Mytilus edulis: one gene and its partners. The protein of the gene in region 1 purifies or fractionates together with the protein of each later gene. This does not show direct contact. Links are inferred from orthologs where the notes say so. Each region holds a gene or a part of one and is shown in the gene's direction. Other genes may lie near its edges. The genes, in order: importin subunit alpha-1-like, CTD small phosphatase-like protein 3, SWI/SNF-related matrix-associated actin-dependent regulator of chromatin subfamily B member 1-A-like and GTP-binding nuclear protein Ran.

Region 1 (7,347 bases):
TGAAATGATGATCATCAAAAGACTTAAGTGTGCTAAAATATTTAATAAGTGCATTAAACATGTTAAAATAACCTGTAGCTGATGACTTTATTGGTCTGAAATATGTGCCACCAAAACTTCCAGCTTGAAGAACTTCTTTGGGCGTCATATTTGGTCGTAGTTCTGGAACATCTTCAAACACTAGCTCCCCCTTTTTGTTACGAGTTGGTAACTTTGCAGTGAATTCAAAGCTCTGAAAAACATTCATTGTTGAAGATTTATTTACTATATTTACATTTAGGTGTGTGAGAGTAGACATCAGCAAAAAAAAATGGGGGTAAAGAAATTTATCAGCTAATAAAAAAAGTATTACAAACAACATGAACAAACTGAAATGTCAATTTGCCAATCTCTGCATTACAAGCCAAAACAAAGTTTATAATACGTTAAACATTTAAATTCATGGTTCGCCTGTACCCAGGAAAATTTGTATCTAGCGAGTTATAATAAATGCACAGTAGTTCTTTTTTTAAATTTTGATTTTATATATCTTTACCCAACGATGTAAGGCCTATAATGACTGTCATCACATTCTCACTCTACTTCAATGAGAGAATAAATATCAAAAAAGTTTCAGATGGGAAAAATATTGCACATAAAAATAGATAAGAAGAGACATGTACTGATAATTACCTTTTCTACATTTGTAGCTTCATCAATATTTTTGGGATAGTTCTTCTTTTTAGATGAAGATTCTTGTTTGTTTAATGGCTTTTCTTTACTGCTTTTGGGAGTTGTTTTCTTTGATTTACTCTTTGAAGCTGAATCAGGTTCAACTTCTTCTCCAAGTTTCCTTTTTGGCATCTTTGTTAAGCAGTTTATAAACTAAAATGGATTACAGAAATAAACAAATACTAGACATGCATTCTTCTCCATGTTTGAGGCGGACTTGTACTATATACATGTATGTTCTCTTATTTTCAATTGTGGAGTATTTATTCCTGAAATATTTTTTCCTTTTAGTCATGTTTAGTGCTTCTCTACTTTCTCACTATATTACTATAATCCAGTTAGATTATCAAGATTATTGAAATTTAAATGCAGACAAACTGAAAATAACTACTTTGTCTCATAAATAATAATGCTAATTGTTTGTTTTAAATTACCTGAGCAAAGGAGTAGGTCGATAAGGCCTTTAAATGGCCCCCTTTTTAAGTCTAAATATCAAATTGGGATTTATTTACCAATATTACAATGATTAATAGATAATACAGTGACTGTATTTTAGTTTCTTGTGTACAATTTGGAGTATGGTGTTCATTATCACTGAATTAGTATATATATGTATATATTTGTTTAGAGGCCAGCGGAAGGACACCTCTGGGTGCAGGAATTTCTCGCTGCATTGAAGACCTGTTGGTGACCTTCTGCTGTTGTCTGTTCTATGGTCGGGTTGTTGTCTCTTTGACACATTCCCCATTTCCATTCTCAATTTTACTAGATAGAAAATACTTCTTTTAGTCCAGTCAAGGGTCTAACTTAGATAAGTTATTAGAGAGAATAACATACATGTTGTTACATGTATTGTGGGCTAAATTATCAAAAACCTGTGATAACATATGTATGTTACATGTTTCAAAGGGAAAATACAATGTATACAACCTTAATATTTTGTTAATTTTTTCTTAAGTTCTATTGATATTATAATTTTCTTCATGTATACTAATCTTTGCAAAGATATAACAGCTCATAGTTTACCAATCATGCATAGTACACCTATGTTATTACTGAAAATATATTCCTGCAATAACCAAGGGGTGTTATTACAGCTTCTCTATATCTCTTTAAAGGCTTTGCTCTGACATGCATAACAATGTTTTTCAATTCATTGTAAGAAATGATGATCAGAGCTTGTAATGAGGCACTGTTTAAGATTCCAAGTGTCTCATTTACTCTCATATAGTAAGTTACATGCTTGTAATAACTAAGCTTAGTTTACAGATTAAGGAAAAACGAGTAGACAACTCATGAAAGTTTCTGTAATAACATACAATGACATACATGTACAAAATGTACACATGTAGGCATATTATTTTTCTCTGATAACTTATTTAATTAGACCCTTGACTGTAGTCACAGATTTACATTACTGCGTATTATTAATGACGTCAAAAATAGTCAAATGATAGTACTCATTTTGATTTTCCACACAAAAACAATGAAAATGGGTAAATTGCTGTTGAATATTTGGACAGGAAACATATCATGCATATAGCCCATACATTTGTAAAAAAAGATCTTTGACAATAATGTTTGTAATGACTATTACATGTCTAACTTGAATATTTATGTTGTCGACAGCTGCCCTCTATGTTTCCTGATGTTAAATTTGGCTGAATTCCTGCCGATTTTGGCAACTGTACTAAGAAATTTGGATTTCATTCTTAGCCAGTACTATTTAAATCAGAACCTTTCTCAGACATACAATGTATATATATCTTTAAAATATGTTAAAATACATGGGGAATGTGCTCATGGGGCACACATGATCCCTCTTGTATATCATATTAAGTTATAAAGGGACATAACTGATAGACTGTAAAAGTGACACTCCCCAAATGTGTGCTTGATCTGAGTTTTGTGGTAACAAGTATGATGTGTAAACTTCATAAAATTTGGTTAAGGCAAACTTAAGTTAGAGAATGGAAACGAAAAATTCAGCATTTTTTTATAATTTTGTAAAGGAACATAACTCTAGAACAATAAGAGTAAAAACCCTGAATATTCAAACTTGATCTGTATTTTGTGGTTATAAGCAATTGTGTTAAAGTTTCATCACATTTAGTTTAGGCTTATTAATGCTAGAGAATGGAATCGAAAAAATCAGCATTTTTTACATTTGTTAAGGGGCATAACTCTAGGAAGGTTTACATCACCAAAATGCAAACTTGATCTGTAATATGAGGTAACAAGTATCGTATCTATAAGTTTAATATGGGGACGATGTCACCTATTACATTAAATGTATTACACATGTTACAGTAAAAAAATCAAAAAATAAAAATCAGGAAAATTTCCCGAATTTTTCATTTTACTAATGAACTCAAAATCGTTAATTTTTTTTCAGTTTTTTAAATCCCCGCATCTGCACAGAAATCTACTCCCTTTTCCCGTCTTGTTTGCCTGAGACTTTGAATAAAATATATATTAATCAGTCTAGTAAAATATATATAGAAAGGAATTCAATACTACATTGTAATTCACTTTTAAAAATTGTTTGTTATGAAAAAAGGTTACCCTAGCGTTTCATTGTTTACATTGAATATGACGTCATAACTTAAACAACTTCACAACTAAAATCCCTAATAACAAAACCAAAATCGGAAACGTCACTGTACTTCCATTTCTTTTTTTTTTAACATGTTTGAATTAAAAAAATAATTCATACAGACTTCATCCCCTTTACAGGTAATGCCTGCCTCATGTTAGCATTTAATTAAGGCAAATTATAAAAGTTGTAGAACAGAAATAAATTATTTTTAATTTTCACTTCAAAATTTTATTCTGAGTACAGACAAACCTGTGCATCTGTAAAAGTTTTAAGGCATAGCATGCCCTAGATAAATAAATTTCAAATATGTATTATGGTTTAGAAAAATAAAAACTTAACTGGATTTTGCAGTGCACTTTTTTTCATTCCTCGAGAAGGTGCCAAAATAAACTAAGTTGGGAAAGAGGTTTGAGAACTTCCCAACAGGTAATAATTGAAGTGAGCTGTATTGATTGACATGGACAGTAGATACCTAACAATAATTGGTCATTTAAACTGTGTACCTGAGTGGACCATATCAAGGAAAACTCAACTGTTTGTTAATTTTATCATCTTCTGCAGGGACGAAACAAAGTGCACTGCAAATTCCATTTAAATTATGGATTTTCTAAATCATACAATGCATTTGAATTATATTTATCTAGGGCATGCTATGCCTTAAAACTGTTCCAGGTCACAGGTCTGTCTGTACTCGGAGTAAATTTGGGGTGAAAATGCAGCCAAGAACCTTAAGTGACGCCACTAAAATTGAATCTTTATCCGTGTTTGTGGTAGTAAACCATGTGTATTATTTTCATAACATTTGGTTAAGGCAAACCAATTTTTAGATGTAAGTGCAAAAGGGCATACAGCGGACAAGGATTTAAAGCCTGGCAGCACCTAGATACATAGAAGTTGTATTCATTTTCTATTTTAAAATGAAATAAACTTTTGTGGATTTTGCTAACATGGCTAAAAAATTTCATTTCTTTCCACAGGTACATGTAGTGTAAAAATAAACAAAGTCATGTGAAATCTTTGAGATAGTAACCTCAGGTAATGATTGTATTGTATCATATTAATTGAAATGGACAATAGAAATCTACTCACAACAAAGGTGATTTAAATAGTGTAAATGAGTGGACTGTATCAAAGAAAACTCAAGTGTTTGTTTACTTCACCATCTTCGGTGGCAAGAAAATGTTCATCAAAATCTATAAAGTGTTTGAACTTTTTGTCCTGCGACTTTCTGTCCTACATTATGTAGGACAGAAAGTCAATTTCTATATAACTACACCCCCCCCCCCCTTTCCCCCCACTACGGCAACATAAAAAAAAAGAAAACATGGCCATTCCTACATGCATTATTTGTGTTCGTACAAGTGTGTATAGTACCACTCCCCCTCCCCTTGACAGAACAAATGCCTGTCTTTTCATTGAACAAAACAAATTATAGGTATATTGATCCAATATCCACCCGTTTATAGTATGGATCACATTTCCGACCTTACATTGATTACGTGCTACGTGTACAATGTTTCGAGTTCTTTCGGAATTATATTCCAGGTAACTCTCTTCAGAGGTCGTCCGTTTTATTTTTATTTTCTAAATGTTTGTTTATTTATTATTTTGTACATTTTATTTATTATTGTACCTTTTATTTATTTTTGTTCGTTTTATCAGCGTATGGATAACTGGTTTTGGTTATTAGATTTAGTTTAAGATACGTTTCAATATGCATTTTTCATTGTCAACGCACCTTCCTTTGGTTTTAGTGTAACTGTCTAATTAATTTCTATTGGGAGACATTGATTTATTTCAAGTGTTTCTTAACGATTTCCCCAATGTTCCTGTTTCTTTTGAATGCTATTGTAGGTTTTTTATCAAAGAGATTTTTGAACTGTGGGTTGTCTTGAATTAAATGCCAATGTTTTCTTATAATGGTTTGTAAATTTTCCGCATTAGCGTGGTATTGTGTTATGAAAGATATATTATAGTTATCTGTGTTTTTGTTTATGCTTGTTTCTTGGTTTGTTAATTTGTTTAATCTTTCTGTATGGGAAATATTTCTTAATATTTTATTTACAAAAGCGATTTTGTAACCTCTTTGTATTAATTTTTCTGTAAATAAGTTTATTCTTTCATTAAAATTGTCAGGATCAGAGGTATTTCTAAGAATTCGTATTCCTTCACCTTTAATAAAGGATTTAAAACAACTTTTAGCGTGGTTAGAATTTTGGTGTATATATTGGAATTTTTCAGTTGGTTTTGTGAAACATTTAATATCTAAGATATTTTCTTTTTGAAATCTCTGTCCTTTATACGTTTCTAAGTCTAGAAATTTCAAACTTTGTCTGTCAATTTCATAAGTAAATTGCAGTAGGTTGTGGTTTGTGTTTGCTATTTCGAAAAGAAGTTTAACTTCTTCCGTAGTACCTTGAAATAAAATATATCCATCATCTTTCATACGTTTATGAAATAATATTTTGTTTTTGTGTGGAAAGATGTTTAGAATTTTATTTATATGTTGGTATATAGCTATATCTGAGATTTGAGGACTTGCTATATGGCCTTGGCTAGCTCCTATAATTTGCCTATAACATTTTTTGTTAAAGGTAAATTCGTTATTAAGGAGAATTAAGTTTGTTATTTGTAGTAAATAGTCAAAACTGGGTTTTATTATGTTATATTCTAGGTTTTCATATATCCCTGTAACACTGTTTAGAGCGGCAATAATTTCGCTAAATCTTAGATTTGTGTAAAGGGATGTGATATCATAAGTCACCAGTAAAGTATCAGTTTCTATCTTTGATTTTTCGAGTAGACGAAAGGTCGGAAATGTGATCCATACTATAAATGGGTGGATATTGGATCAATATACCTATAATTTATGCAAACTTAATTCTCCTTAATAACGAATTTACCTTTAACAAAAAATGTTATAGGCAAATTATAGGAGCTAGCCAAGGCCATGTAGCAAGTCCTCAAATCTCAGATATAGCTATATACCAACATATAAATAAAATTCTAAACATCTTTCCACACAAAAACAAAATATTATTTCATAAACGTATGAAAGATGATGGATATATTTTATTTCAAGGTACTACGGAAGAAGTTAAACTTCTTTTCGAAATAGCAAACACAAACCACAACCTACTGCAATTTACTTATGAAATTGACAGACAAAGTTTGAAATTTCTAGACTTAGAAACGTATAAAGGACAGAGATTTCAAAAAGAAAATATCTTAGATATTAAATGTTTCACAAAACCAACTGAAAAATTCCAATATATACACCAAAATTCTAACCACGCTAAAAGTTGTTTTAAATCCTTTATTAAAGGTGAAGGAACACGAATTCTTAGAAATACCTCTGATCCTGACAATTTTAATGAAAGAATAAACTTATTTACAGAAAAATTAATACAAAGAGGTTACAAAATCGCTTTTGTAAATAAAATATTAAGAAATATTTCCCATACAGAAAGATTAAACAAATTAACAAACCAAGAAACAAGCATAAACAAAAACACAGATAACTATAATATATCTTTCATAACACAATACCACGCTAATGCGGAAAATTTACAAACCATTATAAGAAAACATTGGCATTTAATTCAAGACAACCCACAGTTCAAAAATCTCTTTGATAAAAAACCTACAATAGCATTCAAAAGAAACAGGAACATTGGGGAAATCGTTAAGAAACACTTGAAATAAATCAATGTCTCCCAATAGAAATTAATTAGACAGTTACACTAAAACCAAAGGAAGGTGCGTTGACAATGAAAAATGCATATTGAAACATATCTTAAACTAAATCTAATAACCAAAACCAGTTATCCATACGCTGATAAAACGAACAATAATAAATAAAAGGTACAATAATAAATAAAATGTACAAAATAATAAACAAACAAACATTTAGAAAATAAAAAGGACGACCTCTGAAGAGAGTTACCTGGAATATAATTCCGAAAGAACTCGAAACATTGTACACGTAGCACGTAATCAATGTAAGGTCGGAAATGTGATCCATACTATAAACGGGT
Region 2 (6,832 bases), on another chromosome or scaffold:
AAGTTTCTATTTGAACTTCTGTTATGTGGATCAAAAATACGTTGACAGTTGTCAGTTTATTTTCTACTCTGAGTTTGAATGTTCCTTTGGCATCCGTTTTTGTCTACCTTGTAGCTATCATTTGAAACCAAGGTACTATTTATAAAGTTTAAATAATGTGGCAGTCTTAGATGCGAGACCAATGATACATTATTTATTAGAATAAGAATAAGAATAGTTTTATTTGTCAATCAAGACGCCCATAAAGAGCAGCATAATTAATACAAATTACAATTACAAATAAAATACATATGATTAGCATTGATTTTGTTGATTACAGTTGTGAAAAAAAAACACAAAAAAAACAAAAATTTGTTATGATCTGTAAAGACTATCATATATCCTATATAATAAAATATTGAATTGAATTATTATAATATTATTACCATATGCATAGATTGATGATATTAAAGTCGTTTTAAACGATATTATTTAATTAAAAATCAGCAAAAAATACTCAGACATATATCATGACGGCAGCAGTCCTTTTGCGCCAATTACTGTTTTTCAAGGGTATCATTTGCGCCAAATTTTGTTTTTCAAATGTATCAATTGCACCAATATTCGAAACTCATTTGCGAAAATTTACCTGCACAGATATCTATCATAAATATTAATGATTAATATATATTTATTCTTATTTTTGACTTAAAAAGAATCATATGTTCGGAGATATTTCACTATGAAGATGAGCATCTGTAGAGAAATGACTTAAAATGCAGTAGACAGTCAATGTACAGAAAGAGAATAAAATTTATTGCATTGCTGAATATTTGATAAAGATGTGGCAATAGAGAAGAAAATAGAAGCTTTTCAAGCTAATGATCTTTTAGCAACATATGTTGATGACACAGTGCTTTGTTCCGTATGGACGCGTATGGGCATTCATATTATTAGGAGTTATTACGAACTGTTTTATGCATTTCATCCTTCAATGTTTGTGTTTTTGGACAATAAAGTGAATTTACAATAAAGCTACTACATAAATTAAATAGGATACATACCCATGCAGCAGCAGTAAGAAGAAGATATGTTTCAGAAAAGTAAACATTTGCCGGTTTAAACAGCCGGTTCCAATTCCCAAATAAAGGAGGAGGGAAGTCATTTTTCTTCTAATTGGCACAATCATATGTTTTATTTTTGGCGGAAATGATACCATGTAATTTTAAAACATGTAGCGCAAACGTAGCATTGGAGAGAAAAAAGTTGTGACGAAAAAGGACGCATTTTTGGCGCAAACGGATCTCTCCCATCATGACCAGATAAAAACATGCATGTTTATATGTGGGTAGTAATGCCCTTTATACCGTCAGACGCTAAACGGCCATGTTCGGCTACTGTTAGTGTCAAATTGGTTTAAATTTTATCGTGATTCGTGACATTCGTCAAAATCTCCTTCTTGTGATTTATCAGAGGTCTCAAATAATCATTGGCGGATCCAGAAGGAGGGGGGGGGGGCGGGGTTGGAACCTTCCTTTTTTGGTCGATCAATGCATTTGAATGGGGACATATAGTTGGAACCCCCCCTTTTCAAAATGGCTGGATCCGACCTGAATAATCATCGTTAACTTTATATTTGGAAACAAATTAACGTGATTCCTCAAATCAGTTGATCTTTTTACGCCCGTCTTTAAGAAACTTCAATGCGTTTTTAGTGCATGACGATAAAATGTACACTTTCAAAGTGTACATTTTATCGTCATGCACTAAAAACGGGCGGATCCAGCCAGTTTAAAAGGGGGTCCCAACCGAGGACAAAAAAGGGGAGTCCAAGTATATGTCCCCATTCAAATGCATTGATCGTCAAAAAAAGGGGGGGATTTCAACCCCACCCCAACCCCTTGGATCCGCCACTGAAAAAGTACCGTTAACGTCATTTGGAAAGAATGTTTACCGTGATTCTGCATGAATTACGACCCTCATATAAAAATAAGAATGAGAATATTTTATTTCCAATTAAAGGTCCCTATAAAGAGCTTTCATGACATTACATTCAAGTACGTAAGATTAGACATAAATTAGAGACATATAATATGAGAAAACAACATTGTTTAATACTATTAAAAATGCTATAAAAGGCTAGGACAGAACCAGATAATACAATTTACATCTTTAAAATATACCATTTAAAATCATATACCACTCAAAATATGTATATTTGTGGCTCATTTGCATTTATTATTTTTGAACTTCTCCTTATCTCTATATTTTTAGATAAATACTTTCCTAAACATTTATACACATTTAAATTTTCTTGTGTAAATAGCCATAAAAACTTTGAAAAAATTGTCTAAAGATTGAAAATTATTCCAATTTAGAGAAATTTCAGTAAAAAACTCATTTCTGTTATCAATTTTATAGTGGACATTCAGTTACAAAGTGTATCTCATCTTCAACTTTATTTAAAGTACAGTATAAACATTTTCTCAGTGTCCTATTCACATAAAGTTTGGCATATCTATCAGTCTCAATCCTTAATGCGGGGTTCACACATTGTCGATTATTGCTCCCGTTTGAGATCAGACAGCGATACAAGTAAAAAAGTCGGATTAGTATCCTCAATTATCTGGAATGTCCTATTATTGTCTGAACGCAGTCGTTTTAGTTCGTAACAGATTCCTACTGGTCGGGAAGGGTCCGAATAGTTCGGCAAAGCACCCCAACAGTTAGGTGCGTCCCGTAACATTCGGGGAAACTCAGCCGATTTTGTCTAGTCGGATTACAATCGTGCCTATGTCGTGACAGATTCTGCTGTATCGGATCGAATTCCTAACAATGTTCAGTGTATTCGGGACGGTGTCCTGTGGAACGGGAATGATCTGGAGAAGTCCCGACAATAACAGAATACAATACGACTGAGACCAGACAAAGCCGTTTGCAATACGATAGAGCGGACCGTGATAGGATTACGTTCCGACAGTACCTGATCATCCCGATTATGCCGACAGTTTTCGAACGGATAACTTCCGTCAGCGTCGGTTCACTGTCTTGTCACTTTCTGATCTCTGTCGGATTACATTCGGTAGAATCGGGACGCAGTCGTGACAGACTCGGTCGAATTTTACCTGGCGAAAGATACAAATCGAATTTCCATCCACGATTCACAGGATCTTGATCAGACTTTTGACAAATTTTAATCGGGAATGGTCCTGTCAAGGACGGCAGTAAAAATCGTGAATGTGTGACCCGGCCCAGCTTAATGGATGAGCGCTTATTCTAATTTTAGAGATTGATTGTCTTAATCTAAAATCTTTTAGAACTAAATATTTTTCAAAACAAAATAGAGTTTTAAAGGAAAAATAGGTAGTAAGTTTACCTTGATCTGATTGTAAAACTTTATTTCTATTTTACTTCCAGAAATGGAAATAGTAAGTTTTTATATAGCTTATCTTTGATAAATTTTGTGAAAGAGTAGATACTGGTTTTTAAATTACATGTTTGTATGCCCAGCTTTTTTAAAATAGTCTATACTTGAAAACCATGTATTCACTTTATTATTGTGAAGTTCTTTATTACATAAATATGCATCATATAATAACATGTTCTTAGAATTATCGAGTCGATGATAATATTAATATAAATATGTCTCTTTCGTCTTCATGGGCGGATCCAGGGGTCGCCCTGGGGGCCCGCCCCCCCCCCCCTTGGTTGATTATATAGGGAATCATTGAAGCATGACTGGAGCGGCCCCCCTTTTTTTTAGGTCAGTCAGCGCCCCACTTTTCAATATTACCTGTCTAAATAGCGAAACCACGTGCTGTTGTTTATATTTACGATACAGAACGCATGCGCAATCAGGTTACTCATCCGGGACGTTTGGCCTACGCGCGAAATGATGTCGAAGGAAAATACAAAATAAATCAAATGGTAAGATAATTGACTGCCTTAGATCAATGATTATTTGCATTATATAACAATAATACTATCGTTTTATAAATTATATAATTGTCAGACATCTTTCAATCTCATTATATGAATCAGTTTTGCACTTTTTGGCAAGAAGCCATGTTTGGGGACCTTGGCCGAAATATTATTAAAGTTGATGTTTGAGTTCTTTTAAATCATTTGTAGATTTTAATTTTCAACTAAAGTGTTTGAGAATGATTTAATACACAGTACATATGTGCCTGATTATATGTAAAGGTTAGTGTCGGTGAAGAAATTATGTCGGGGGAACCGCAGTTTCTCAGCTTTGAAAATTTGTATTGATCGTCCACGAGATGACGTCATCTGGTTTGACCCAATTTCTCTCATGTGTTGTAATGTTGACATTTTGTGTTCTCTTGTGATGAAATGTTTACAACTTCGGATGTTAAAATTTTGAAGAATTTAAAAAATACAAAATAAACTGACAATGCCATGTGTGTATAATATTTATATTGTCTTAGATCAGGGCTATGTTCAACTTGGTTTGTTTTGGGTAAACAAGACATCTTTCACATTTTTCTTCCCAAATAAAGTTTGTCAGCTGAGCTCTAAGAATTGGGTCAGTGTTATCATTTAACATGAAATATTTTACAACAGTATACAATGTTTTCCAATTATGACTTGAGATACAATTATGAAAATTGACCTACATTTTAATGTCTTATGAGGTTTATCAATATTTCCTGTTAGATGCTAGAGTAGAGGAACTGTTTTTACATCAGTAAAGAATTATTGTCAATATGCAAATGTTTTAGCTCTGATTGAAGACCTAAGAAAGTATTGGCTATTTTACATGGGGGCAATAGGGGGTTCATTAACATGTTAACATTATAACAACACCTCGATTTTGGCAAAAACAGTCGACAACAAAAGAAAAAAATGCTGATTACAGTTAACACATTTGGTTGAAAACAGTTTAAAGTTATCTTGGATATCAGTTAACAGCACCTTTAAAAAGGCTAAAACAGGTTAACATGAGGTATTGCCACCTCTATAATTACTCAACAGTGCAGTGATGTCGTTAGAAGCTGGCAGCCGGCGATTTTCGCCGGTTATTGTCCTTTTCCCGCCGGCTATTTTTGCATGAGTAAAAAAAATTAATAAGATAAAAAAGATAATCAGGTTAATATTAAAAAATAATTGTTCAATGCATCAGCTTCCACGATTAAAGTCGCGATAAACAAGGATGTAAATCAGTGTTTACCTTTAAATATAGTTCACGTAAATGCAGTCCGCTGATTGGTCGTCTATTTAAAGTCGGTAAGTATTGTAATGTTTGCAAGGATAAAAAGAGAGATGGACATTATGACCCTGTTTGGTTTTTGCTTCAAGAGAAGGAATAAGCCAAAGATGACAATAGCATGTTATGGAAATTAATATATCATATATATCATAGCTTGACAACATGTTTGAAATACGTGTACAAGTCTTATATGAGAAAAAAGGGGGTCATTTGTCACTAAGTACGTACGCAAATAAATCGATCAAGATATTTAATAAATTCGATTATTTTTGAAATAAAATTATAATCTATTATTTCACAGGCACTTGCCTGTGTATTATTTACATATATTCAAGAACAGACTTCCTTAGTTGTCTTACAAAAGACACCTTCCCAGAAAAAAATATAATATAGATTAGCCTTGCCAGGACTACGGATTCTCATTTAAAAAAAAAATCAATGTGATTGAAGTCAACAACAAAAATAAGACAAAATTAACATTTTCCCAAGCATCTAAATCACTCTCAGGTACAAAATGTATGATCAGAATGCAGGAATTTTAGTCTAAATTTTCAAATCTTTTTGGGGATAGCCAAGGACGTATATTATGTTAGTTATACGTCCTTGGGATAGCATACGATTTTATAAAATATAGCACCTCTGTAACAGTTTTAACTTTGAAATCGAAGCTCCAGCTGACTACTAGTCAGTGAATATTGTTTTTTAATTTTGTAAAAACAAAACCAACACTTTTTTAATATAAAATTAAAACAATGTTCTCAATGTCACAATTACAATTTTCATTTAAAACTAAATTATTCAAGTGACAATTCAAACCAGAGACAATATGTTTCTATTCAAACTAAGATTTTTGGATTCTTTCAGTTCAAAAATATTTACTAGCAGTCAACCTGCAGGAAAATGCACAAAAATGTATATTGGTCCATCAAGATGATCAATGATGTGATCACATGTACAGAAAATTTTCCCATCATGTTGCTAATTTTAGTTAATCATTTACATTATCTTCAGTAAAAAATGATGTTTTCAGAGGTCTGAATAAGGGTCTAGGACACCCCCAGAATGCAGGATTTTGCACCATTTTAAAAAAAAATCCTGGGGCCCTTGAGCAGGCCCCAGACCCCCCGCCGTAGTAGCGACGAGCAAGCTCGTCGATGCGAACCGCTTCGCCGTCCGCATGTACTTGCCGCCTATTTTAGAAATTCAGCCTGCTTCTTCAAAACTTAGTGACATCACTGCAGTGTACACTTACAATGTACAACTCATTTAAAAATTGTTCTTTTGTTAATTCCAATGATCAAAGTGCCCATGAATTAATATTTGGTAAATCATAAAGATGAAAAAAAGTGTCTATGCATCGAAAGATAAGGATCTATATTGTACTGAGAATTTAACAGTTTGTTTGGTTCGGGTCAAATCTTATCAGCCAATCAATTTTTGTCATGCCAACACACCCTTCTATAGTGTATGTGACTTAGTATGTCCAAATTTAATGTTCACAGGTTAAGTGTTAAAATGTTTGGTAAGTTTCAAGATATTCTGTTGTAAAGGCATAGATTATGTAATTGGTAATAAGGGAAAACAGAAATAACCATAGTTATTGCACACTCCCAGTACAAGAAA
Region 3 (7,060 bases), on another chromosome or scaffold:
TTAGACAATGTAAAGAGATATATTGCGACGGGACCTTCAGAACTTGTCCAAGGCCATATTCACAATATTTTACCATTCACGGCCGGTACCGTAATAGGGTGATGTGTTTTGTAAACTGTCTAATGACTGATCGCAGTATTGGTGACTATAGACATATTTTAGAAACACTGAAAGTCAAAATTCGACAAATCACACGGCACAGATGGCGCCCAAGAAAAGTCATCTGTGATTTTGAGCTCGCATTGATATCAGCAGTAGAAATTAACTGAGCTTCCACGCGCTCAAATTAGTGGTTGCTATTTTCACTTCAATCAGAGTTTGTGGCGAAAAGTCCAGAACTTAGGTCTTGCGGCAAGTTACCGACGACGACCAGCAGTAAAAAGCCTAGTCCGTAAAGTTATGGCCATTGGATACCTATCAATTGCTGTTGTGCGCCAGAAATTTCGTTTGTTGAGAACATCCCGTAGAACTCAGAGACTCTGCAGGCGGTATAATGGACTAAGGGACTTTCTTGACTACTTCGAAAGGAACTATTTGAACGGGTTGTTCCCTCCCCAGATGTGAAATGTTTATGAAAGAGATATGAACAACAGAACAAACAACAGCGTTGAAAGTAAGTGTTATCTGTTTATTTCAAAAGTTAATCTGACGAGAAAAAGGTCTCAATTTAATAAACTTCACATTCAGAATATTTTTTACTTAAAACGATTTAGATTTAAATTTTCGCTTGGTATATATATAAATGCACTTATACAGTTAAACTGATATGAAGGGGTTCGGGGGGCTTTAGTATAAGGTTAAAAATTTCGTAATTTTATTTAATACACAATTTTTCGTTTATTCTTTAATTATTAAACATTCTTTTTCTAAAATAGTGGAGACCATTTTACCCCCCCCCCTTTTCCGGCTACCGAAGGTGTTAAATGATTTGATTTATTATGTATAAAATCACGTCAGTACAAGTATGTATAGCTGTAGCGTTTGCTTCTCCGTTCCATATTACGAATTTGGTTTTATGTTTAAGAAAATCTTAAAAAATATGAACATAAGTGCCACCAATACGTCTATATAAACATAAGAATATGTGATATGGTTGCAAACGGGACAACTCTATCTAAAACCTAATTAGGTAGTAAATTTAAGCAATTTAAGCCTTGACTCACACAGCAAAGTAAACTTTCAAGGGCTACAAAATGACAAGTGTAAAACAGTCATGTCAAACACAAAGACGTATTTAATTATGTATCACATATTTTTACTTGATATTAATAACACTGTTTCGGTTAGACACCCTTCTTTGTGGACTTTCATAAAGACCAACAAGCAACTTTGGAGAACTCCGTGGAGGCTGTCGATAGGGTATAGGGCGATCCAGCGCCGAAAAGAAAAAGAAAATGGCGAAATCTAGAAGCACGGATGATGAGATTGAAAGAGGAATATAATAATGGAACGAGAAATTTAGACCAATACTGGAACGCAGTGTGCTATGGAGTGGTTCAGTTTTGACACTTTGTTGTATTTTCTTTAAACATTGTGTAAATTTAAAAGTGAACTTTTTGATAAAACTATTTAGTTATGAAAACTACTGAATTTTTGCTGACAATTTGTGATATTTTTCAAAGATAAATAATTCCAAATTTGATTAAAGTGTTTTGCATATTTGATGAATGAAATGCATCACCAACAAATGCAAAAAAAAGAAGCACACACAGATTAGTAACACATTCTTCTTCTAATGCAAATACAAGAACTAAATGCCGTTACCCCCCCCCCCCCCCCCCCCAAAAGCAAAGAACAAAAGAAATGTTTGCGGTAACGCTATACCACTAAATTACACCAGGAAACGGACTAATTGGTACTGTATGTTTTTATTGTGTAATTTTTATCAAATCATTTGATTTATATTATAATTATTAAATGTTTATTTGGCCTATATCAATTTGATGATTTTGGTCGTTTTCAACTGATTTTTATCGTGCTTACACCACTGCTGTCTGAGGGAATCTTGGATCCAGAAAAAATGTTTAACCCGGCTGTGGATGAAATGAAAGACGATATGAAACCTGGGGATATTACTATCGATACAAATATTCACACTAATGCTTTTTATCGTTCTTTTTCAAAGATTTTCAGAAAATTGTGCTCTTTATATGCGACGTCATCAGGCAAGGTCGCCTTTTTTCATGACGTCACAATAGGAAAATTGAGAAGAAAACAAAACATTTTGACACAATTTTCTGAAAATCTTTGAAAAAGAACGATAAAAAGCATTAGTGTGAATATTTGTAAAACTAAAGTGATGGTTTTTAGCAAGAGAAAATCGAAAATGGATTTTGATTTTAAACTTGATGGTACATCTCTTGAAATTGTAGATAGCTATACATATCTTGGTCTTTTGCTTAATTATAATGGGTCATTTGTTTGTGCAAAGAAAAAGCTTGTAGAACAGTCGCAAAAAGCACTTTTTGCTGTTTATACAAAGATTAGAAATTTACATTTACAACTTAAATTGTTTGATTATCTTGTCGAACCTATTTTATTGTATGGATCAGAAATATGGGGATTTGAAAACATTGATATAATTGAAAAAGTTCATCTACAATTTTGCAAGAGAATTTTAAATGTGAGATCAAGTACTCCAAATGTCATGGTATATGGAGAATTAGGAAGGTTTCCACTAGAAATTAAAGTAAAATTAAGAATGTTATCGTTTTGGAGTAGAATGGCTAAAAATGAAAACAAACTTAGTAGTTCTATGTATAAGCTTATTTTCAAATTACATGCTGATGGTATTTGTGAATTTAAATGGGTGTCATTTGTAAAATCTATATTTGACAACTCAGGATTAGGTTATATGTTTTTTCAACCAATACATTGATTATTCAACTTTCAAACCCGTTATAAAACAGATTCTTCAAGATCAGTTTCTTCAAAAGTGGTCCAGTAATATTGATAACTCGTCTCGTGGCGAATATTATAAGTTATTTAAATCTCAGTTTGGTCTGGAAAATTATCTATTACGTCTTCCAGAGGATAAAAGAATCTGGATTTCAAAACAGGATTAGGGAAAAAATATTCTTGAGATACACAATTTATATATATCAAAAGTATTCATGGAACATGTGGAATACAACATTATACATGATAATACGAAATACGAGAGGAGAATGATTATACTTTTTCTGTTTAAATTTGACGACATTTTTAAAAGGATATATATAAAATGACAATTATGCTTCAATTTTAAAAAGATAAAAGATATGATAACATTTAGGAAAGGGCCCTTGTTAATTTGCAAATAAACGGCACAATTACGATGGTTAAACAATGTTTGAGGTAGTGGGCTTAATTTCTACAGAAGAATAAAACATAAATCAACTTACCAGTTTCACAAAGACGATGCTGCCAGTTGTCACATGTGTCACATTGAAGAGCATCTTGTCGAATCGTAACCGTCTTCTTGAACATTACAACGTGGACGAACCATGATTGCAATTGAAGATGATCATACATTTCACCATAGTTTATATATTTTTTCTCAAAGCTTGATTTTTACAACGTTTAAGCCATGCATTTTCTTTTCGGTGAGGATGGTGATTGTTTAAGTATAACTCAATGGCCTTTGATGTTCATAGTGCCGCACTCATACCGAATTTTTGTTTTCATTTACTTCTCTATGTTTATTCTACTTTTAACAAATCCATTCTATTTTTGTAGGTATGTTATCCACTAATGAGCACTGATTAGTATATTGTGTACTCATAATTATTTTAATGTGCATATCAAATGAATTGCCGTCTAAACAATTTCAAACAATCAATTCTAAGGAATACTAATGATTATAACGATTAGCATTTGATAAGCTTATTTAAAACAATTATAATTGCATTTTATTAACAATGAAAAGTTTATTTATATGTTGCTATATAATGATATATACGAAAGAAAGTTACAATAACTATGCATATAAACATGATAAATAATATCAAATAAAGCATGGGTAAGAGTTGGTAAAAATAGGGTACGAGTTGCCGAAAGTACGAGTTGTCGTGTACCCGACTAAAAAATCTAAACTGAGTGGTCTCCCTTTGCCATGGCGTCAAATATGTTTGGGACAAAGACATTTGGTGAAAAACCTCAAAAGTTTCAGATAGAGGAAGGCGAAGAATATTATTATGTCGGATCAGAAGTATGAAATTACATGTTGTTAAAGATCTCAGTCGAGAAAATTTCAGATTTAGTGTAAAAAAATCGTTTTTCTATCGAGAATCGTAGAGTACCCATGGCATAATTTATTTCTGTAACTGTTAGTGTTACTAAATTTGTGGCCTTCCTTATCTAAATTTCATTTATGGTTAGAGTTCGTTTAAGGGTAGGCATTTTGTCAGGGTTAGCACCCGTTAGACCCAAATTTGAATATTCTTGTTCTGTTTGTGACCCTCTGACACACAACCAATCCGTATGCAAAATTGAGATGGTCCAACAACAAGCTGCTCAGTATGTCTGCAAAACCAACATGAGTAGTGTTACAAACATGCTCACAACATGGAATTTACCATCACTAGCAGAATGGAATGTAAACTACACATAAGATTAGTTATGATGTACAAAAATCATGTTGCAATACAATGAGTTCGTGGTCTAGTGGTTAAGACCGATGGCTACAGTGCTGAAGGTCCATAGTTCGATTCTCACTCGGGGCGCTAAAAATATCAGTACGTCAGAAGGGTAATTTTCACCCTCTCACACACATCACTGGTACCCAGACCGGAGTTTAAACTAAAATGGGTACTTTGGGGGCCTCGGTTGGTCAAAGTTGTTCCCTGCTTGACTTCGAGATCAATCTTCTGATATCTCTCTGGTTTGTCTGTTTCCACCGAGTGGCCCGGTGGTTCTCTCCGAGTACTTCGGCTTCTTCCACCATAATAACAGACTTCCTGGTGTCCTAGCACTCCCTCGGTGTTGGATGGGGATTGAGTTGTCCTTGTAAAAATAATTGTCGTATAAATTATACGTTAGTGACACATCTCCATTAATCCCGATAGGGAGTGTACATGGATGCCACTGTACCCTCACATGTAAACCAGTCAGGGGACTTACTGAAATAAGTGATTTTTAAATCACTTATTTGAGTAGCAAATTCGAGGTTTTGTCACAAATTGGGATTATGTAGTTTTTTCAAAATTTGAAACACATAGGTTTAAATAATATCTTTTAATTAGTAAAATTTAAAAAAAATGAACTTTTTGCTTCTTTTAAGTAGCAAGGTTTATGCCTTTGATGCTATCATTTAGCTGAAAATTCTATTTTAGTTGAAAAAATGCTATAATAATGGCTTTACATAATGAACTGATACTTTCTTAAAAGATTTTTCCCAGCAGTGGGAGTATTTTTCCTGTGAAGTTCAAGGTTTCATCTTTCAGATTATGTAATAAAATTCTACTGTTCGCAATAAAAATTTCACTGTTTGGGGATGTTTAAATTAGTGGGGGTTATTAAAAGAATGATACTTAAAGAAGTGATTTTTGGGAAGGAAATTGAGGTCTGATACTTAAACAAGTGATTTTTATGTCATTATCCTAGATTCAGGACAAGGTCATCACCTGAAATGACCTGGTCATCCTAGACAACACAGATGTTGGTTCTGATAAGTTTAGAAACATAATTAGTCCCTGGATCATTAGTATTCTATATTTAAAGCTACAATAAAATTAAATCACTTCTTCTAGTGATTAATTTGTACTACTTAAATAGGTGATTATTAAAGAAAGACAACTCTAACTTCCAATCTTTATGGAAATAATGTTACTTGAATCAGTGATTTAGAAAATCATTTATTTAAGTAAGTTCCCTGACTGTAAACATGTAGAACATGCCTCATATCATAATTTCTCTTGCTGAGTTGCTGAGATTATATTAATGCTGTAAATAAACAAAACAGAGAACAGCTAAAGTGAGCTGTTCCCTGATGCTTTCAATGGATTGTGCCTGAACCAGTACCAGAGGGAGATCGTTCCACTGTGGTATTGTCATGAACTGAAATTATGAACATCTGTACAAGTATTTTGATGTATGAATATGCCTATATGAAAGTGGATGTTTTTTTTTCTAGTTCTTGGGTCTGCTTTTATGGGGGTTGCCCGGATATTCCGACACCCTGTTAGTCTGATGGAATACACCTTATTGCTTTTCCAACTTGACAATAGAGTGAGTCCCGCTTGAACATGTTGAACTTTTGACATCATACAAACAACCATTTTTTTCATTGTGGCATCAGATATTTCCTATAATGACATCTAAACTTTATGGGAACTAGTGTGAAGTCGAGAAATAAACGTATTTAAACTTTTGGTATTTAGCTGTATCTTGCCTCCGAATGACCTTAGATCGACTCAGAATCACCTTTTGACATCAAGCAACAATTACTTTATTTCAAATTGTGACGTCAAATATTTTAAATTATGATGTCAAAGTTTATTGGAACCTGTGTGATTTTACGTAATGGTGGACAAATTCATTTTGCATACAAGTGTAAATATGTCTATGGCGGACAAATAGCAATAAGGTGTATGTATGTATGTACTGGTAAATGCCTCCGATATCCGAAGAATCGAGGGGTTCTTCGGATATCGGAGGCATTTACCAGTACATACATACATACACCTTATTATGGAAAGCCAACGGGGTCAAAATTCTTAATTCGTAACTTGTCAATTCGTAACCGTTGTAACTGTGTAATTTCTAAATTGTTAATTCGTAAATTGTTAATTTGTAACTTGTTACTGTGAAATTCATAATGCTTAATTCGTAAATTGTCAATTTGTAACTTGCACCTTTGTAGTTTCAACATTCTTAATCGGTAAATTGTCAGTTTGTTACTTGTAACTGTGCAATTTCATAATGCTTCATTCGTAAATTGTCGATTTGTAACTTGTATCTTTGTATCAAAATTCAACATTCTTCATTAATTGTCAATTTGTAACCTGTAGATTTCAAAATTCTTTATTCATGTTATTGGTAAATTGTCTTTTTGTATATTGATGTTTTGTAACTTGTAACA
Region 4 (7,486 bases), on another chromosome or scaffold:
GAGGGCTTTCCCCACCAATATGACCAAGCTCCTAAATATTGAGGGCTTTCCCCACCAATATGACCAAGCTCCTAAATATTGAGGGCTTTCCCCACCAATATGACCAAGCTCCTGAATATTTGGGGAATTCACCATCAAATATGACCAAGCTCCTGAATATTTGGGGAATTTACCATCAAATATGACCAAGCTCCTGAATATTTGGGGAATTTACCATCAAATATGACCAAGCTCCAGAATATTTTAGGTTTTACAATTTACACCACAACATTCTGAGGTTTTCCCCTCATCAAGTTATTGAATTGAGATTTCGAGACATGCAAGCTTTTAATTATGTCACAAATCAAGATGGTAAACCACCATTATCAGTTATCTTAACAAATTTCATTGAAGTATACACAATAGCAGTTTTATTTGGTATATACACTGATGATCATTTACAATGATATTGGAAGAACTAACAGACACACACAGACCAGAAAACATGATGCCTTCTTACTGTCATGGACTTAGGTATAAGAAATCATGCGCTATCAAATGGCATCAATATCAAACACTTTCATCACCATTAGATCTTTACCACAATTTCTTGCTCATATTTCTTTGCTTTATACACATTTATCAAATTATATATGAAATAACATTTTTCGAAAGATAGTAGAGCCCACAATTAGAATTCAAAATGGAAACAGGAAATGTGTAAACCAGACAACAACCCAACCAAAGAGCATAAAACTGCCGAAGGCCACCAATGGGTCTTCAACACAGCATAAAAATCTCACACATGGAGCTGGGCTTCAGCTGATCCTCAAACAATCATGTAAAATGTACAAATGTATACTAATTCAGGGAAATAATTGCTACACACTTTGTAATTAAGTTTGTATATTTGTAAAAAAAGTGTTTAATAACTTACTATCATCATTTTGTGGTGCCATTAAAATCATACTATGTTTTTTCTTCACATCTTCCACATTAGCTGATATTTTATCTATCATCCCCCGGATCTCCTCCACCTACAAATTTTAATATAAAATTTAATAAAAACAAAACAAAAAAAACAAAAAACTTGAGCTAAAATATTAAACAAAATAGACATACTGTGAATTATCCCTTCAATTCTTTGGTGTTACCAATCCAGTAAAATATCAACAGTAACTTGTAGGAACAAAATTTCAAAGGACATTTAATTCTCTGTCTCAAATGTTGTTTAACTTTTAAATTTGGTCCCATAAATTTTCTTATTTTACAGGACTAAAAACATTTATTCTAGTTTTGACAGAACCAGTATCCTATGAAAACTCAATATATTTTAAAATTGAGAAATTACAACAGCAATATGTTATCTGCAGGCTTAAAGAAGTCTCTTTTTTTTTATATATACCATATTGATATTACCATTAACAAAAAACTGCTGGAAGAAGTTAATTTAAGCAAATACATTCATAAATTGGTATTTTCATTAGGGGCAGTAACCCATATAAAGCATCAATAAATGATTTCAATATAAAAGTGTTTTGAAATTTTTAAGATGTTGTATATACATTTTTGTATATGTACGTCTGAACCAGTGACAACTCTACAACAGATTTATCCATCGGATCACCAGCAGTGATGGTGATACATGGCTGTGTACATTATGTATATACAACTCGTCTAAACATCAAGCCAACAATGTTAGATGTGTATATTGATCATACTTTTTTGCAGCTTTCAGTTTCTGATACAGTTAACGCCATTGTGAATCATGCCATTTCAAAGTGTTTAAGGAGCAGGTTCAGCACTTGGTAATTTTACATTATGTTTATAAAAATGTTGAAATTTTTGAGGTTTGTTTTTCTAAATACACCAACAGTCTGTGCAAAACTGTTTTAGGGTTTGTCTGACCAAAAGAGAAATTCAATTTTTCTTCTATATACATGTATATTCAACCAAAAAATCTTAAAAGTTCTGTGTGACCGAATGATTTTTTGTCTGACATTTTGTCGGTCAGATGGAGTTTGGGATACACTGCACCAGTGTGGCCACCTCAACATGCTTACTGTTTATGTTGCAATAAAATCATACTAGTCTGAGCAATAAATGCCAAAAAGAAATATTTTTACATAAATAAATGAAAGTTTATACCTGTTCAAAGAACATGTCCATGAAACCTCCAGTGTCAACATTGACAGCCACATCGTCTGCGTCATCATCATCACTCTGTGCCTAAAATAAGACAAACAACTACATTAACATTTTCATATAATTTGGTATGGTTTGAGTGTACATTTGTATTTATATTATATATAGTGATCAGCATCAGTCTGCACTTAAATCTTTCCATTTACCGACGACTTCTAGTTCGAAAACCAATATCCAACATTTTTCTTGTGTGTCATAAAAGCTTACTAGTCTGAATAAAACTTTACTAGTCTGGGGCATTAGACTTGTGGCTCAGGACCCAGACTGCGTAAACAAATTAATTTCTAATGTGAATCAAAGAAACAATTCATGTGGCTAATCTGCATGTACAATATATTTTCGTATCAATTTGGTACATCAACATTTATCCATTAATCAGCATTCTCCCCAGGCATGAATATATATATATGTGTTGAGGGTTTCCTTTAGTAACTATGTTTACTGACCCTAATATTGAGTGCCAACACAAAATTAAAATCAGTAAAGGAAACCCTTAACACATATATTTGTATTTTTTTAACAAACATATGAAATAAAATGTATTTCTACTCAGGCAATTAAAGCTTGACATATATTTGTACATGCATGTACATGTACTACATTGTATTGTATTGTACAGAAAACTGTCTATTGTTGTAGATCCTAAAATGCCATCAATAAGTTTTTATATATTTGTGTTTACAGTCTTCACGATGAACTGTAAAATCTACAGGCCCCTAGCTTATTTTTTGAAAATTTTTAGTTAGATTCTGTTGGCCGGTAAATATGATTTCTACAGGCCCAAGAGCAATTTTACAAGCCTGGGTTGCCACTCAGCGTGAAGACTGTATTTAGTGCTGATTTAGTTACATGTACCACACATCTCAATTTATTCAACTAACAATGTATTAACAGTACTAGTATGTGCAGGAAATATAAGTTTGTCAGTCATTTATCATGTTTGTCAGTAGAATAATTTTAATTTAATATTTGTATGTATGGATACATTTGTATTTAAAGTAATCTGTGCCAAATTAGTATTTGTATTTACCTACAATATTAAACACTTCTTACATTACCACCAAGAAGGCAAAAACTCCTAGATGGAATCAAGACAACTTGCCCCACTGCCAACATGGCCAAATCGCCCCATTTTTGTTTACTACTTCACCCCACTTTCTAAAACTATCAGCCCTTATGTTTACCAGCATGCCTCACTAAACTAATATATGGATTAAATCCTTTTAAATTTACTCCTTCCAACTCAACCCTTTTCAACATGATTTTATCAAAATTGGAAAATATGAGTAGACAAGTTGGTGAAAAAGTTCAGCTTCCTGTAGTAAGTTGCAAGCTCTATACAGGAAAATTCAGATACATTATGTACAATAATAATGGAGCGATATAAAAAAGAGCAGTTGAACAATGCAGTATTAAACTAATGCAGAGTTATGATCAGAATGTTTTCCACCAGTCAATACAGATAAGGGTGTCTTCTTCCAGATTATGAGTCGAAATCTGTAGTAAAGTGTAAATAATTTGACTCAGGCACTCTGGTGATTATATTAATAGGCCTACTTTTAGTCTATTAGTTTTATAGGCAGTGTGCAACATAAATTTCGTGTTCAGTTTACAGGAAGCTAAGTTTTTTTTTACATTCTGGTTAGGTTAAAAAAAAATTTAAGAATAGACCTATTAGGATTCACACCCCTAAGCAGTGGCGGATCCAGCCATTTTAAAAAGGGGGTGTTCCCAACCCAGGACAACAGAGGGGGGGGGGGGGTTCCAACTATTCCAACTATATGTCCCCATTCAAATGCATTGATCGGCCAAAAAAAGGGGGGTTCCAACCCCTGGATCCGCCACTGCTAACGCAAAAGAAGGCCATATACAATAATGCTGGAACAATAAACATGCTGGTAAATATATAATATATATTGCAGTACTTTACATGCATGTCTGTCACAGTGTCGGATTCCCCATTTTTCTTTGTCCATTATTGCCAAATTTTACAATTAATACTGGTTTAATTTACATGCATGGTCAATGTCTGTTAAGCATTTAAAGCAATAACAACTAAAGGGGGAGGGGTGTAAGAAATCAGTGTTAACTCAGACTCAGTCCCAACTTGGCCGGCTAAATTCTTACCGCTTTTAAAGCCGCAAGACGATCTTTGGTCATTTTTCAACTTAAGTGTATACTATTTTCATCAACTCATTAAGATCACTGTAGTCTTTGTATGTATTGTTACATGTTACTTCCAAATTCCGATGATACATAAGAAAATCGATACAATTTTAATATCGTCTACCATCATAACACTAGCAAGTGCGCAAGTTCATGCGGGGTTTCCTTCTTCCGGCTGTGTCGCACTTAATGAATTTTTTTTAGCGGGTAAATAATATTTGTTGTTGAATTTAAATTTTCAAAGATATTTCAAAGGACAGAAATCTTCCATCGCATAAGCTCTATTTTTGGTAGTTTATATAATCTAAAGTGACGGCAAATACCCGCCAAAACCAGTTTAAACCCCCCTTCCGGTAAATCTCTTGCGCCATTTCTTGACTGAAGAGGGACATAGCAGGTAAAATCGTCTGTCATCCTATGAAAGAAATCATTTCAATTACACCTTTGATGAATTATTTGTATAGAAAACAGCATGTTTTAATGTTTTATCACTTCATTTTTTATTAATTCCATTTCAACTCGTTACCACAAACAATATACCTGATCGTCTTTGTCATTCTTGAACTTGTAAACGTAAAGTTGACTGGAAAGAGATATACAATTCCTGTTAGTATTGAAACTTAATATTCATCATACAAAACTAATTGCGTATGACAACCTGAAGTTAATAGGCGATCAGACTTCCGCAGTCACTTCTAGAATAAATAAATAAGGATGCGTCAAATTCATTTATTTGGCGGAATTTTATGGTGGTGTAATTTCAGAATATATGTAAATACATAGAATAAACTTACAATTACACACTGGATTTATTCCATAGAGTTGTAAGCAAACCGTTAATGACCAGCTTTCAATATTTTTTTTGTTATTGTTTTAGAGACACTTGTATAATTTTATATTAAGAAATGTCACCTCAAACAGGCCCCCTCAAACATTGTTAAGCGCAAACAAACAAGAAACTTAGATGTAATATGTACTATGTATTGATAGAGCTTGTATTGTCATTGTTGATTAATGCTGGGAACCTACAGATCGTAATGATTAAATTGTAATGCCACACAGTTCATCAGCACTTAAATATGTTGAATGTCAAGGTCCTCTAGATTCGAGATGACAGAATCTCCTTTCAGTTTAGTGTTTACAGCTTGATTGATCTAGACAGTGATATACAGATTTAGAGTCTTAGAATAGAAAATAGTTTTCTATAATGATGTATTTTTTTAATATAAACAACTCAGACTCATATCCGATTAAATCATATCTATTTTAAAATTATATCTTGGAAAGAACTGGTTCTAACTGACTTTCAAAGAAATATTGCACAACGCACATACATACATACATGTACAGTATACATATACATGCAACAATATAGATAGTAAAATAACTTGCTGGTCATCTTAGGTGTTCATAAAAGTTGTGGTGAAAACTGACTTTGTTAAAGTAAGTGAATTCTTAAAACTGTTATATTGATAGTCATCCAAGTTTATCAAACTAATGTGCTACTACCATCTCTGGATTAAATATTGTTATGCAGGCCTGTGTTAATCTAAGTAAACTGCATTATTCATGACTTGGTGTAAATTTTAGGTCTAAGATTTTTTTATTAAAAGCAGGCCAGAGTATTTAAAAGCACATGAGGCAGATTTTACAGTATTGTGTTCTGTCTCCTACTTTCATGTTGCTAATGTGACGGAGACAAAAATGAGTAACGTTAGCGACATTTGGACATGTCACATGAGCAACAACATCTTTAAAAGTTAAATTCTAATGCAACAACGTTTGTAACGTTCATTTTCATTGGATAACGTCACTTTCTTACATGGCATCAATTGACAATTGATGCTATGGGACGTACGCGCAAGCGCAGACGACATATGACAGATTTTAAATACATGTTTTAACGTTGTTTTCTGTCAGTTTCATTAGAATGGAGATAACAATATTGTATTTTAAGCTCCGACGGCATCAATTTGGGATTTGATGGTCGCAAATACCCGTTTACTGTCTCCGCTAACGCGTCGCCAGTAAACTTAATTTGCGACCATCAAATCCCCAATTGATGCCGTCGGAGCTTAAAATACAATACAGTTATCTCCTAAATGTATGCACACAGTGATGTTTAATATATGCCTGGAGTAATAAAATTGTACAGTCTGGTTTAGAATTTCTAAATATACAGAATGTCATTTGCAGGTGTACTTTATATCAAATGAATACACAAGAAACCAAAAAATTAGTAACGTTAGCAACATTTGGACATGTCACATGAGCAACAACATCTTTAAAAGTTAAAATGTATGCACACAGTGATGTTTAAAATATGCCTGGAGTAATAAAATTGTACAGTCTGGTTTAGAATTTCTAAATATACAGAATGTCATTTGCAGGTGTACTTTATATCAAATGAATACACAAGAAACCAATTCGTAATAGTAACATTAGCAACATCTACTATCAAGACATTATGTTTTGTTGCGAACGTCTTTTTGATGGACGGAATACATTTAAGGTCCTCTTGTAAAGATATTACATACAACTTACCTTCTTTGCTTCCCCATCATGTGAAGGAACTGACTCCGAATCTATTTCTGCAAAGGGCGATATCGTAACTCCTATACAGGAGAGTTACAGATATAAATATATGTTGCTCACGTGACACTGATTTGGACGGAAACCTCGAACAGTAACGTTCGCAAAAAATAAAACAGCCAATGATATTGATTCCTCAAGTCCTTTGACCCCCTTACGTCATCCAAATTTAATATGATTGCTATTTTCAATTATTTATAAAACCCGGGATAAAAATAACTACAATGGGCTGTCTGAGAACTAACAAGAAAATTGCGATCGTGACATACCACAATGGACGGAAAAGACGTGACGTTAGCAACAATATTATTAAATTACCTTTTTTAGCCTTTACCAATAAAAATCTGCCTTAAAGTTATGATTAAAACACAAAAGAAGACTTTTTATTAAAATATAAGTCCATGTTATTAGGCTCCACTTATAAATAATACTTCAAAATTCCACTCCAAATAAGCTGGATGTCAGTAAAGTAGGTCATGATGTCTATTCCATGTCCAATATTTTGAAATTGAAAACCCTCTAATTCTAACATAAAACACAAACA

The links.
Region 2: the proteins of importin subunit alpha-1-like (region 1) and CTD small phosphatase-like protein 3 purify together in Homo sapiens (affinity purification with mass spectrometry; 4 studies listed by BioGRID and IntAct, with this or other methods). This does not show direct contact. The link is inferred for Mytilus edulis from reciprocal best matches to the Homo sapiens genes KPNA2 and CTDSPL2.
Region 3: the proteins of importin subunit alpha-1-like (region 1) and SWI/SNF-related matrix-associated actin-dependent regulator of chromatin subfamily B member 1-A-like purify together in Homo sapiens (affinity purification with mass spectrometry; 3 studies listed by BioGRID and IntAct, with this or other methods). This does not show direct contact. The link is inferred for Mytilus edulis from reciprocal best matches to the Homo sapiens genes KPNA2 and SMARCB1.
Region 4: the proteins of importin subunit alpha-1-like (region 1) and GTP-binding nuclear protein Ran purify together in Homo sapiens (affinity purification with mass spectrometry; 3 studies listed by BioGRID and IntAct, with this or other methods). This does not show direct contact. The link is inferred for Mytilus edulis from reciprocal best matches to the Homo sapiens genes KPNA2 and RAN.

The regions. Positions count from the first base shown.
Region 1 is NC_092353.1:13,692,781-13,700,127, reverse strand, and holds the start of importin subunit alpha-1-like, read left to right. Parts: upstream 1-4,320; 5' UTR 4,321-4,332; intron 4,333-7,347. Other genes in the region: uncharacterized protein, read right to left, coding at 73-232, 673-864.
Region 2 is NC_092354.1:12,255,941-12,262,772, reverse strand, and holds the start of CTD small phosphatase-like protein 3, read left to right. Parts: upstream 1-3,802; 5' UTR 3,803-3,906; intron 3,907-6,832. UniProt on the Homo sapiens protein: Probable phosphatase.
Region 3 is NC_092349.1:8,148,362-8,155,421, forward strand, and holds the start of SWI/SNF-related matrix-associated actin-dependent regulator of chromatin subfamily B member 1-A-like, read left to right. Parts: upstream 1-4,058; 5' UTR 4,059-4,093; coding exon 4,094-4,189; intron 4,190-7,060.
Region 4 is NC_092349.1:64,093,793-64,101,278, reverse strand, and holds the start of GTP-binding nuclear protein Ran, read left to right. Parts: upstream 1-4,478; 5' UTR 4,479-4,557; intron 4,558-4,649; exon of another isoform or gene 4,650-4,956; intron 4,957-5,460; exon of another isoform or gene 5,461-5,793; intron 5,794-7,486. Other genes in the region: syntaxin-like, read right to left, coding at 917-1,016, 2,128-2,208, 4,312-4,344. UniProt on the Homo sapiens protein: GTPase involved in nucleocytoplasmic transport, participating both to the import and the export from the nucleus of proteins and RNAs. Switches between a cytoplasmic GDP- and a nuclear GTP-bound state by nucleotide exchange and GTP hydrolysis.